Nothobranchius furzeri: one gene and its partners. The main gene of each other region encodes a partner of the protein of the gene in region 3 in a complex. Links are inferred from orthologs where the notes say so. Each region holds a gene or a part of one and is shown on either strand. Other genes may lie near its edges. The genes, in order: mapkap1, deptor and mtor.

The links.
Region 1: mtor (region 3) and mapkap1 share a complex: the UniProt entries of both Homo sapiens proteins name them as parts of the mechanistic target of rapamycin complex. The link is inferred for Nothobranchius furzeri from reciprocal best matches to the Homo sapiens genes MTOR and MAPKAP1.
Region 2: the proteins of mtor (region 3) and deptor are in contact, whole or in part, in a cryo-EM structure (PDB 7PEC), measured with the Homo sapiens proteins. The link is inferred for Nothobranchius furzeri from reciprocal best matches to the Homo sapiens genes MTOR and DEPTOR. Residues at the interface, in NP_001373429.1 of Homo sapiens: Met304, Gly305, Phe306, His1494, Cys1498, Trp1501, Gln1525, Asp1527, Ser1528, Glu1530, Glu1531, Cys1534, Met1535, Ile1536, Arg1538, Arg1547, Gln1554, Leu1556, Leu1559, Gln1562, Cys1563, Lys1566, Arg1683, Leu1685, Asp1686, His1687, Lys1710, Ile1711, Phe1714, Gln1715; in NP_073620.2 of Homo sapiens: Arg54, His56, Leu57, Lys58, Thr59, Tyr60, Pro61, Val101, Arg116, Lys119, Asp121, Gly122, Thr123, Phe124, Lys131, Ala132, Arg135, Arg138, Lys142, Glu177, Gly178, Glu179, Glu185, Cys304, Asn305, Lys307, Gly335, Asp336, Ala337, Val338.

The regions. Positions count from the first base shown.
Region 1 is NC_091746.1:37,017,351-37,019,709, reverse strand, and holds the end of mapkap1 (target of rapamycin complex 2 subunit MAPKAP1), read right to left. Parts: intron 2,190-2,359; coding exon 2,092-2,189; intron 1,089-2,091; coding exon 966-1,088; 3' UTR 524-965; downstream 1-523. UniProt on the Homo sapiens protein: Component of the mechanistic target of rapamycin complex 2 (mTORC2), which transduces signals from growth factors to pathways involved in proliferation, cytoskeletal organization, lipogenesis and anabolic output.
Region 2 is NC_091745.1:40,951,079-40,954,735, forward strand, and holds part of deptor (DEP domain-containing mTOR-interacting protein), read left to right. Parts: intron 1-975; coding exon 976-1,158; intron 1,159-3,657. UniProt on the Homo sapiens protein: Negative regulator of the mTORC1 and mTORC2 complexes: inhibits the protein kinase activity of MTOR, thereby inactivating both complexes. DEPTOR inhibits mTORC1 and mTORC2 to induce autophagy.
Region 3 is NC_091755.1:52,431,944-52,435,600, forward strand, and holds part of mtor (serine/threonine-protein kinase mTOR), read right to left. Parts: intron 2,389-3,657; coding exon 2,266-2,388; intron 2,073-2,265; coding exon 1,890-2,072; intron 1,810-1,889; coding exon 1,675-1,809; intron 100-1,674; coding exon 1-99. UniProt on the Homo sapiens protein: Serine/threonine protein kinase which is a central regulator of cellular metabolism, growth and survival in response to hormones, growth factors, nutrients, energy and stress signals.

The DNA of each region.
Region 1 (2,359 bases), on a different chromosome or scaffold from region 3:
CTTCATGGTCATCGAATCAAAACATCTCTATTTTAATTAAACATGGGATTATTATAAAATTACTGGTGTCATTCTCTACAGACAGTTGGAAAATTTAAAAATGCCGTTTATGTCCTGTTCCTCTGAATTCATTTTCATTAAGTCTCAGTGAGTTTGTCTTTAGTTCGTTCCAAATGTCTGGAAGCATTTAGTTAAACCAGTCTCTCACTGGGCTGTCAATGGAAGCAACACATTTCTAACACTACTGGTAGACTTTCCAGATCGCCTTTAAACCCTCGCTGGGATTCTAAACATCCGTTAAAATGATGAGCAAAAGTTTTCGCCAGTTAGCTGCAGGGTTATCTCATGCTTCTCCAACCCATCTCAGCTGCTTCTTAATTAATTTTCATGAAAAGAAATAGTAGCTTTGTAGGTGATGGTAAAGCGTAGGGCCAGAAATAACCCAGGTGTCTGGTGCAGGTACCAGATGGTTAAAACGATGCTTTCAGAAGGAGGACTGGAGAAAGAAGGTAATTCAAAGCAGTTGAGCTAGTATGGTTTGTAATATTTCATTTCCTGAATAGAAAATGTTTTTAAACAGTACATAAAAACAGGCCCACTCCAGTGGGTTAAAGAAGGAACAGAAGCAGATTTTTGCCTGTAGCTGTGATCTGTTTGTTGGGCTAACTCGACCAACTTGTAGAAGTTTTACAAATACATCTTGAAAGACAGAATTTAAATACAGAGGCAGTGAGAGAACAAAATACTTGACTGCTACACAACAGCCAAACTGTCCACAGTTCTTCAGTCTGTTGAAATTAAGTTTCCGTTTTGACGTGATCTGCTCCCTTGCGGAGATTCAGAGACTCCAGCTTGGATCAACGAAAGCAGGAAAACCTGCCTGTTATCCTGTAGGTCTCCAGCTCCGGATCAGGAGCATCAGAGAGACAGATGGTCAGGAAAAGGTCTGCACCAGCAGCTTCTGTCTACTGACCCGTCTTCTTCTCTTTCTGGAAGCTGAAACTTGTCCGACGACTGAGCTTTCTCTGCTTCTGGGCATAGTAATCAGCCCGAGAGGTGCTGGCCCGAGACTCCAGGATGTAGTTAACCTACGCAAACCCCAAAACACAAAACTGCTTCAGTCATAGCATGTATGGCGTGATGATGGAATGTGTTCTGCTCAGATATCTATTCAAGAATATCACATCTGAACCGTCTCCATCACTGGAAAATGGTCTCCCAGAGCAGAAAGAACCGGATATTTAGGGATGCTGTGGATGATGGATGACGGCATTTTTATGAAAATCACTCAAGGTACATTTGACATAAGTGGTTTCAACAAAAACAGCCAGAGTGGGACTTTAATACTCCACCACTGGTTATCCTCAAAGGTTCAGAAAACCTCAAACTAAACAAATAATCAAAATAATGAGGAAAATAATTATTCTTTTAACTTTCTGGTGAACCAGATTATCACCATGAGCTGCAACATTCCTCTGACCTGAGTCCAGCTGCAGCACTTTGGTGAAAGCAGCATTTCAGTCCCATTTACAAATATCACTGTCCATTATGTTCATTAAGGACGTTTTTAATTAAAGAACATGTGATAAAAAAGCCTAACTGAATTAGAGTGTTGAAGAGTTGCTCCAAATGGACGCACAGACATCAGACTGTAAACATCTGTCAGGCCTGGGCTCAACTTCCTGTTGGGGCGACAGTGGCACAGGAGTTAAGTGCTCGCCTCGTAATCAGAAGGTTACAGGTTCGAGCCCCGCTCAGTCTGTCGCTGTGTCCTTGGGCAAGACACTTAACCCGCCTTGCCTGCTGCTGGTGGTGGTTGGAGGGACCAAACTCACCTCTGTCAGTGTGCCCCAGGGTAGCTGTAGCTACAGTGTAGCTCATCACCACCAGGGTGTGAATGGGTGAATGACTGATTGTGTTGTTAAGCGCCTTGGGGGGTTCCAGGGCTCTAGAAGGCGCTATAACAAACACAGGCCATTTACCATTTAGGTAAACAATTTAAACCAATGAGTTTCTTCCACAGCAGTAGAGAAATGTGAGTGTTTGTCCTCAGACAGGAGCAGGTTACAGTCAGAGTCAGAAAAAACTCACCTTCAGCACTATTTCATTGACCGTAGCAGCATCAGACTCAAAGTACAGAGGCTTATAGTCATGGTTGCTCAGATAGGTGAGTTTAAATATAGCATGACCTGTAAGGCAAGAAAACAACAGAAAAAGCACATCATCAACTCTCTTGGTTGTGTGGAGTCCACCAGCTCTAAAACAAATAAGTCCCATCTCAGACAGGATGCAGCATCCCTGTTAACAACTTTACCCTCCAGTCACTTCATTAACACTGGAGACTAGTCCCAGAAAACAG
Region 2 (3,657 bases), on a different chromosome or scaffold from region 3:
GGTGTGAAGGATGATTGCTGCCTCTGTTGAATCAGACTAATTACAGACAATATTACCAGCTGCTGTTTGCATGTCCCACTTTTATAAAAGCACCTTTCACTTCCTGTCTGAGGGTGAGTTTAAACAAGTTGGACTTTGACCTGCAGGTATCTTTTCCTGCTCTCGTACGGTTCATTAGCGACCACTTTTGTAGGAAGTTTCTCCCGAGCGGCTGCCTAAATGAGTTTTTGCAGATGTCACCACATGACAGAAAAATGGACTTGGATCTAGAGTGTGATGAGATTAGACTGCTTAGAAGTTACATGGCTTCATTGCTGAAGGGTTTATTTTCTCTAAAAGCAGGTTGGAAGAAAAAAGACTCATTTCTGGTGATTCAATGTTTAAATTTCTTCTTGTTAAATGCCAAACTGCACTGACACTTCATCTTTTCATGTAGATGCATCCTAATGGAGAACTATAAAGGCTTCCTTCACCAAAACTCTGTTTTACAACAATAAATAAAGTGATTCCAGAACCTCCAACAAAAGTAAAAGTTTCTCTGTTCTCTCACGCCCAGCTTGAGGGGGAAAGATGGTTTAGGGAACAAACTACTTGGATTATGCAAACTTAGGAGAAATTCAGAGGTTACATTTTACTACTCAACTTCAGGAAGGAAAAAAAGTCTTTAGAGAAAATGACAAATGTGTTGTAAAGACCAGTCGTCATGTGATTCAGCTTTTTCTGCTCCTCCGTCTCTTCTGGGCCCTCAATGAGTCCATCTGTTCTCTTGTTTCTCATTCACTTCCTGTCCTCAAGCTCCAAGCAGCTGCTGCAGAACTGAGCAGCTCCAGAGCAGAAAAATGTAGAGACACACACACACACGCACACACACACACGTACATTAACAGGTCTATTAGCTTTCATTTCCACATCCGTTTCTAACTTCCTAATACAAAACCTCCTCATTACCTCATGTCTGTTTTTATGATTATTCAGTCACCAACAAGCATCACTTTGTCGACGGACTTCTTCTCTACCAGTTTCGCATGAACTTCCGGCGGCGGCGGCGTTTGATGGAGCTTCTTCAAGAACGCAGCCGCAGCATCCCTGAGAGTTACGACAGTCCCTTCTGTCTGCGTAAACAGCACTCGGATGGAGGGAACACCAGCTTCCTGTCAGGTACATATATGGACATGTAAAGTAACGAGTTGCTTTCTACTCCTCTGCCCTACTGGTTGAAAGTGGAATTACAACTGCCGTAAACAACCTTGCTGCAGCCTGCTGTAGCTAATACTAACAATGAGCTAAAAATAGCATGAGCCAACTAGTACTTATATAAACCAAGAAGTAAAAGAGCCACACTATTGGAACTGAAAAAAAAAATTATATTTTTCCAGCAGCAACAAAGCCAGGTCACCATCAGTCCGTGATTTTGTAGCTTCCTTTAGCTCCTGCTAACTAGTGTAGGGTGTGTCGATGTTCACTCTGGTTCTTAACCTCCAAAGTTATTACTCTCTTATTTGTCCTTCCAGGCTCCACCACGATCCCAGCAGAAGCAGCTAACTTCTTTTTTTCTTCTTCTTGAGCTTTTTATTGACGATCGGCAAACTGAAAATGCTAACCACTAGCATCACAGCTAACAGCTGTGAAGCAGGCAAAGAGTACCTCTTAGGACACCTACCGGCTCCACAAAACAATCAAGTGCAGTCTTTGGTCAGCTGAGGGCTGCAGAGTGGTGTCAGATATAAAACTGGCCATGTTTCTAACTCAACAATCACTGAGATAAATGATAAAACTCAAGCTTAACGGTGTGGATGACTGAAAAAACAAATTCTAATGATTATTTCTGATTATAATTAGTCACTGAGTTTTTCACACAGGCTACCCCTATCTCATTAGCATTAGCTTCTGATAGAAAGTAGAAGATGAAATGCTAGGATTTGACAAGTCTCACATATCTATGTCACACTGTCGTGCCCGCCCACAGGAGGGCTTTTTAAAACATTTTGCAGCAAGGAGAGAGAGCGGAGAGTGTCTTTGTGGTGGTGACTTAGCAACATGGCTTAAGACATTCTGTTAGCCAATCAGAGGCAAGGTGTGTGCATATCATTAATAATAATGAGCAGTCCTGATGTTTAAGACCACCTCTGCACCAGCTAACTTCTGCATCTCAGAACAGGAGCATCATAGCTTTTTTATTTTTCTAATGACTCATAAGGCTTTGATTTACTCTAGAGAACACTACAAATGTATTGAATAAATGAGTGAATCACACCTTTAAAGTAGAAAAAAACAATCTGTTGTTAAACAGGAAGGACATCTGTTGTCTTATTTGGAAGCCATGTTTAAAAGCCGGAGATTATCTGTGTTTTTGACACGTTTACTTCATGTTTTTTATTGTTTGTCGACTCCGATCCATGAAAACGGACACTGTAATAATTCTGGTGGGCTGGACTCATGTTCCTGTTATAAGGTTACCAGGGCAGCTCTGTTTGTGTTGCTAGGTGGACTCTCGACTCTTTATCACATCTCCAAAAGGACGTTTCTCAGCTGTAGTTGCTTGTGGTTACTTTGGTATTCACTCTTTAATCAGAAAAGTTTGAGTGTGTAGGAGTTTGACAGAAATAATCTCTAGCATCTACTGTTGTTGTTGAACACTTGTGGAACATGCTTTTATTGTGAAAGGGGTTTCTTTGCTCATAGTTGCTTGTAAACAAAAAATAAGATGCATCATAAAAGTGGAACTGGGTTGTTTGAATCAGCAAGTCGTGGTGGAAAAAGCAGCAGTGGAACAACAAATGTTTTCCGTCTAGCCAGTCGTGATCAGTTGAATCTGGGAAGGAACTCATGTGAAATCAAACCTATTTTAGAAGTTTCAGGTAATTCTGTAGCAGAATTTATTATGAAAAGCTCATAAAGAAGTGAAATGACTGATAAAAGCTGCCAATGCAAAAGCATTTGTAACAAACAACATCTTACATGAAAACGTGAGGTTCATCAGGAATATCGCCCACAGCTGATGGAATTCCTCATTACAAACACGGAGATTCTGGTGCAGCTAGTGAGGAACGCTGCTCTGCTTTGGGACTCAGACGTAAACATCTGGCTAGGTGGATTTCATAAGCAGCTACTTCTGCACCTTTCAAAATGTCTTCATAATATTTTTATTTAGTCCGATATGATGCTGAGTCATTGAGCGTGTCTCGACGTTGGCTCATTCATCTTTATCGTAGCTAAAGATCAGAGCTTCACATAACAAAAGAACTAGCTCCAAGTGCAGTTGTTGTCATTTTGAAACCGTAAAAGGTGAAAGATTCCTAATGTGATCTTATGCACAGATCTAAGTCTTCTTCTGAAACAAAGGCAGAGCAGCATTTTTATTTGAGTAGAATGAATAAAATACATTTAAAAAGCTGCAGGTCAACCGTTCTACAGTAGCCCTAAACCAGGGATTCCCCAAGTGTGGTGTGCGCACCCCTGGGGGTGCGCGAAGTGTAATGGCTGCGGAGCTCAGAGAAGTCTGTCATATGTCACCATTAGCGTAGCCAGAAACTCATTTGTGGGCGGGCCTAAGAAAAAGTAATGCAATTGAAAACAAGTGTATTTTGCACGCGCGCGTGCCCTAGCTTCATAATAACAATGCGCCGAGCTTCAGCACTCTGGCCTGTGCACGCCGAT
Region 3 (3,657 bases):
GATGGGCTGGTTGGGGTCGTACGTGCCAGGTACAGCGAGCTCCAGGTCCCGACACATCAGCAGCTTGGGAGACACATACTGCAGCTCCAGGGAGGTGAGCTGTAGGGAAAGTTGATGAATTTATTTTAGAAACAGATCATTAGTTTTCAGTCTGTTTTGCACAAAAAGAGAGCCCAAAGCAAAATGCATTTGTGGACTCGGACACTGGAAATGTGGAATTTAAGGTTTTATCTCTGGAAAGTTGTCTCAGAAACTACCTCCATGCTCCTGCAGCCATCAAATCAGAGCCTGAAAGACTATTGAAAGAATTTCAAAGTTAATTTGTAAACGTTGATTTACATTGACTGCATATGGTTACGGCCCCAACTTGCTCTAAATCTGCTGTATGGATGCGTCCTGGCGATGATTTATTCCTATGACGATACCCCAAGGAAGAATATTTGCACTGCTCCCAGCGTGTTATTATACAGCTGCGCTGCTCATGCTGCGGACTGTAATGTCCCTGCAGGACGGCCGCGCCGCCAGCAAGGCCACGTCACGATGACAAATCAGATTACCATCTCCATTTATTATATGGAGTAAGAGCTGCTGACAGAAATATTTTTAATGTCACCCCGACGTTGTAACGACGGTGGTGAGGAACGGCATCAATCTTTTTGATTTCTTTCCCATTTCAGAGGCTAATATTTAAGTGAAATCTTTTGACCCATGATGAAAGCAAAAGATTCAATTCAATTCAAGTTTATTTATATAGCGCCAAATCAAGACAAGAGTCGTCTCAAGGCACTTCACATAATAAACATTCATGATGACTAAAGTACTTACATCGCTAGCCACGATCAGGCTCATTACAACACTAAATACAATATTAAAATGGTGCTTCAGGTGCAGGTGGCTTTAAAGATAAAGAAGGAATTGAAAGTAAATGAACGTGTTTTTACCAGTACATTTTTGATGGTCTTTAGTATGAATGAATGAATGTTTTGTGAGTCTTTTTTAAAGGGAAGAAAATCTCTCATGCTCCTGTTTTAGTGGTAGAGGTGCGTCAGAGGAGTGTGTCGGCGGAAAGAAAAAGGATTACAAGTTTTACTCATTAATATTTATGATATGCAAACATCTTGCCTCTGATTGGCTAACAGTAACATGATTATTAATGACTTAGTTTGCTCTAAAACATCAATGTTTTATCTCCAAAGAAAAGACAAGAGCAAGAGCTTCTTCTGTTCTTTTTCTCCTCACGAAGCTCACAGGATCGTTGGGAGCGTTTTGAGCCTCAATTAGATCTCAAATAGGAAAATACAAGAAAGGCAAGAACTTTAAAAAGAGTTGTCAACCTCTGAGAGTAAGATGGTGAATTACTGGAGTAAAAAAAGAGAGACGAGACAAAACTGCAAAAAACAAATACGATACTATTAAGACACTGCGATTAGACGAGAGATATTACACATTTTCTTGGTATTTTGTATCTCTAACAAGTCGCCAACATGCTTTGCCAAATGCCGTTTCATTATGTTCTGCCATTCCTTGAACCTGGATAAGATTCCTATCCCGTCACATGTTGCCACTTTTCCTCATGACTATATTTTCTACCTGGAAAAACATTAGCCGTACATATTCCTACGTCTGTGTTTGTGATGTAAAGATGGTTTGCGGCAGCAGCCTGCGACAACTCACCTGTGGTAGCTGTTTGGAGATGCGCCTGAATACGTGGTAGTAAAGGTCCCAGGCCTGAGTCAGGTCTTTAACGTTCCCAGAGCGCATGTACTTCCTGCACCAGTCCTGAGCCTCCATCAGATCTCTGCCATAAGCCTGAAGCATGCAAACAACATATTAATGAAAGTCATGCAAGGCTGCACCACATTTACCTACTACACTAAGGCAAAACCAACCTGATTAAAAGAGGTCTCTTTGAGGGTCTGTGGCCCCCTCTCCATCATGGCATGAAGCGGTTCCAGCACAGCAAACATGCCCCTTACGTTGCGCTCACCAAAGTAAAGACGAGAGGCTTCCTCGAGGCCCTCGTGCCACATCTCATGCCACAAGATAGCGACTCGGATAAGCTCTTCACTCACCTGAATGAACAAGGACAACAAGTAAAAGGTCAGCCTGCTCTGATATTAATTCCAGCTTCTGAAACGACACGGGGATTTTTTTCTTTCATGTTACATAAAACATATCTGCTCAGATTTTCTGCAACTGACGCAGAAACCTTGTAAACAAACCCATTTTTAAATGTAAAGAACAACTCTGACTGCATTTCTCTACCATCATAGCTTGCTGAACCAGGGTGTTGCAGTGTTCACACATGTTCTTCAGGATCTTGTTAGCAGCGTTGTGTCGGGCCGTGGTGGTCGACTTCGAGGCCACGGTCAGTGGGTAGATTAAAGCCTGGTGAATGGAAACACAAACACTGAGCCTTGTTTTTACAGGTGCTGGCCAGTAAATTAGAATATCATCAAAAGGTTGAAAATATTTCAGTAATTCCATTCAAAACGTGAAACTTGTACATTATATTCATGCAATGCACACAGACCAATGTATTTCCAATGTTCATTACATTTAAATTTGATATTCATAAGTGACAACTAATGAAAACTCCAAATTTGGTATCTCAAAAAATTAGAATATTCTGAAAAGGCTGAATATAGAAGACACCTGCTGCCACTCTAATCAGCTGATTTACTCAAAACACCTGCAAAGGCCTTTAAAAGGTCCCTCAGTCTTGTTTTGAAGGCACCACAATCATGGGGAAGACTTCTGACTTAACAGCTGTCCAAAAGACAATCATTGACACCTTGCACAAGGAGGGCAAGACACAAAAGGTGATTGCTAAAGAAGCTGGCTGTTCGCAGAGCTCTGTGTCCAAGCACATTAACAGACAGGCGAAGGGACGGAAAAAATGTGGTAGAAAAAAGTGTACAAGCTCTAGGGATAACCGCACCCTGCAGAGAATTGTGACGACAAACCCATTCAAAAATGTGGGGGAGATCCACAAAGAGTGGACTGCAGCTGGAGTCAGCGCTTCAAGAACCACCACGAGGAGACTCATGAAAGACATGGGATTCAGGTGTCGCATTCCGTGTGTCAAGCCACTCTTGAACAAGAAACAGCGCAAGAAGCGTCTCGCCTGGGCCAAGGACAAAAAGGACTGGACTGATGCTGAGTGGTCCAAAGTTATGTTTTCTGATGAAAGCAAGTTCTGCATTTCCTTTGGAAATCAAGGACCCAGAGTCTGGAGGAAGAGCGGAGAAGCACAGAATCCACGTTGCATGAGGTCCAGTGTAAAGTTTCCACCGTCAGTGATGGTGTGGGGTGCCATGTCATCTGCCGGTGTTGGCCCACTCTGTTTCCTGAGGTCCAGGGTCAATGCAGCCGTCTACCAGGAAGTTTTAGAGCACTTCATGCTTCCTGCTGCTGACCAACTTTATGGGGATGCAGACTTCACCTTTCAATAGGACTTGGCACCTGCACACAGTGCCAAAACCACCAGCACCTGGTTCAAGGACCATGGTATCCCTGTCCTTGATTGGCCAGCAAACTCGCCTGACCTTAACCCCATAGAAAATCTATGGGGTATTGTGAAGCGGAGGATGCAATACGCTAGACCCAACAATGCAGAGGAGCTGAAGACGACTATCAGAGCAACCTGGGCTCTCA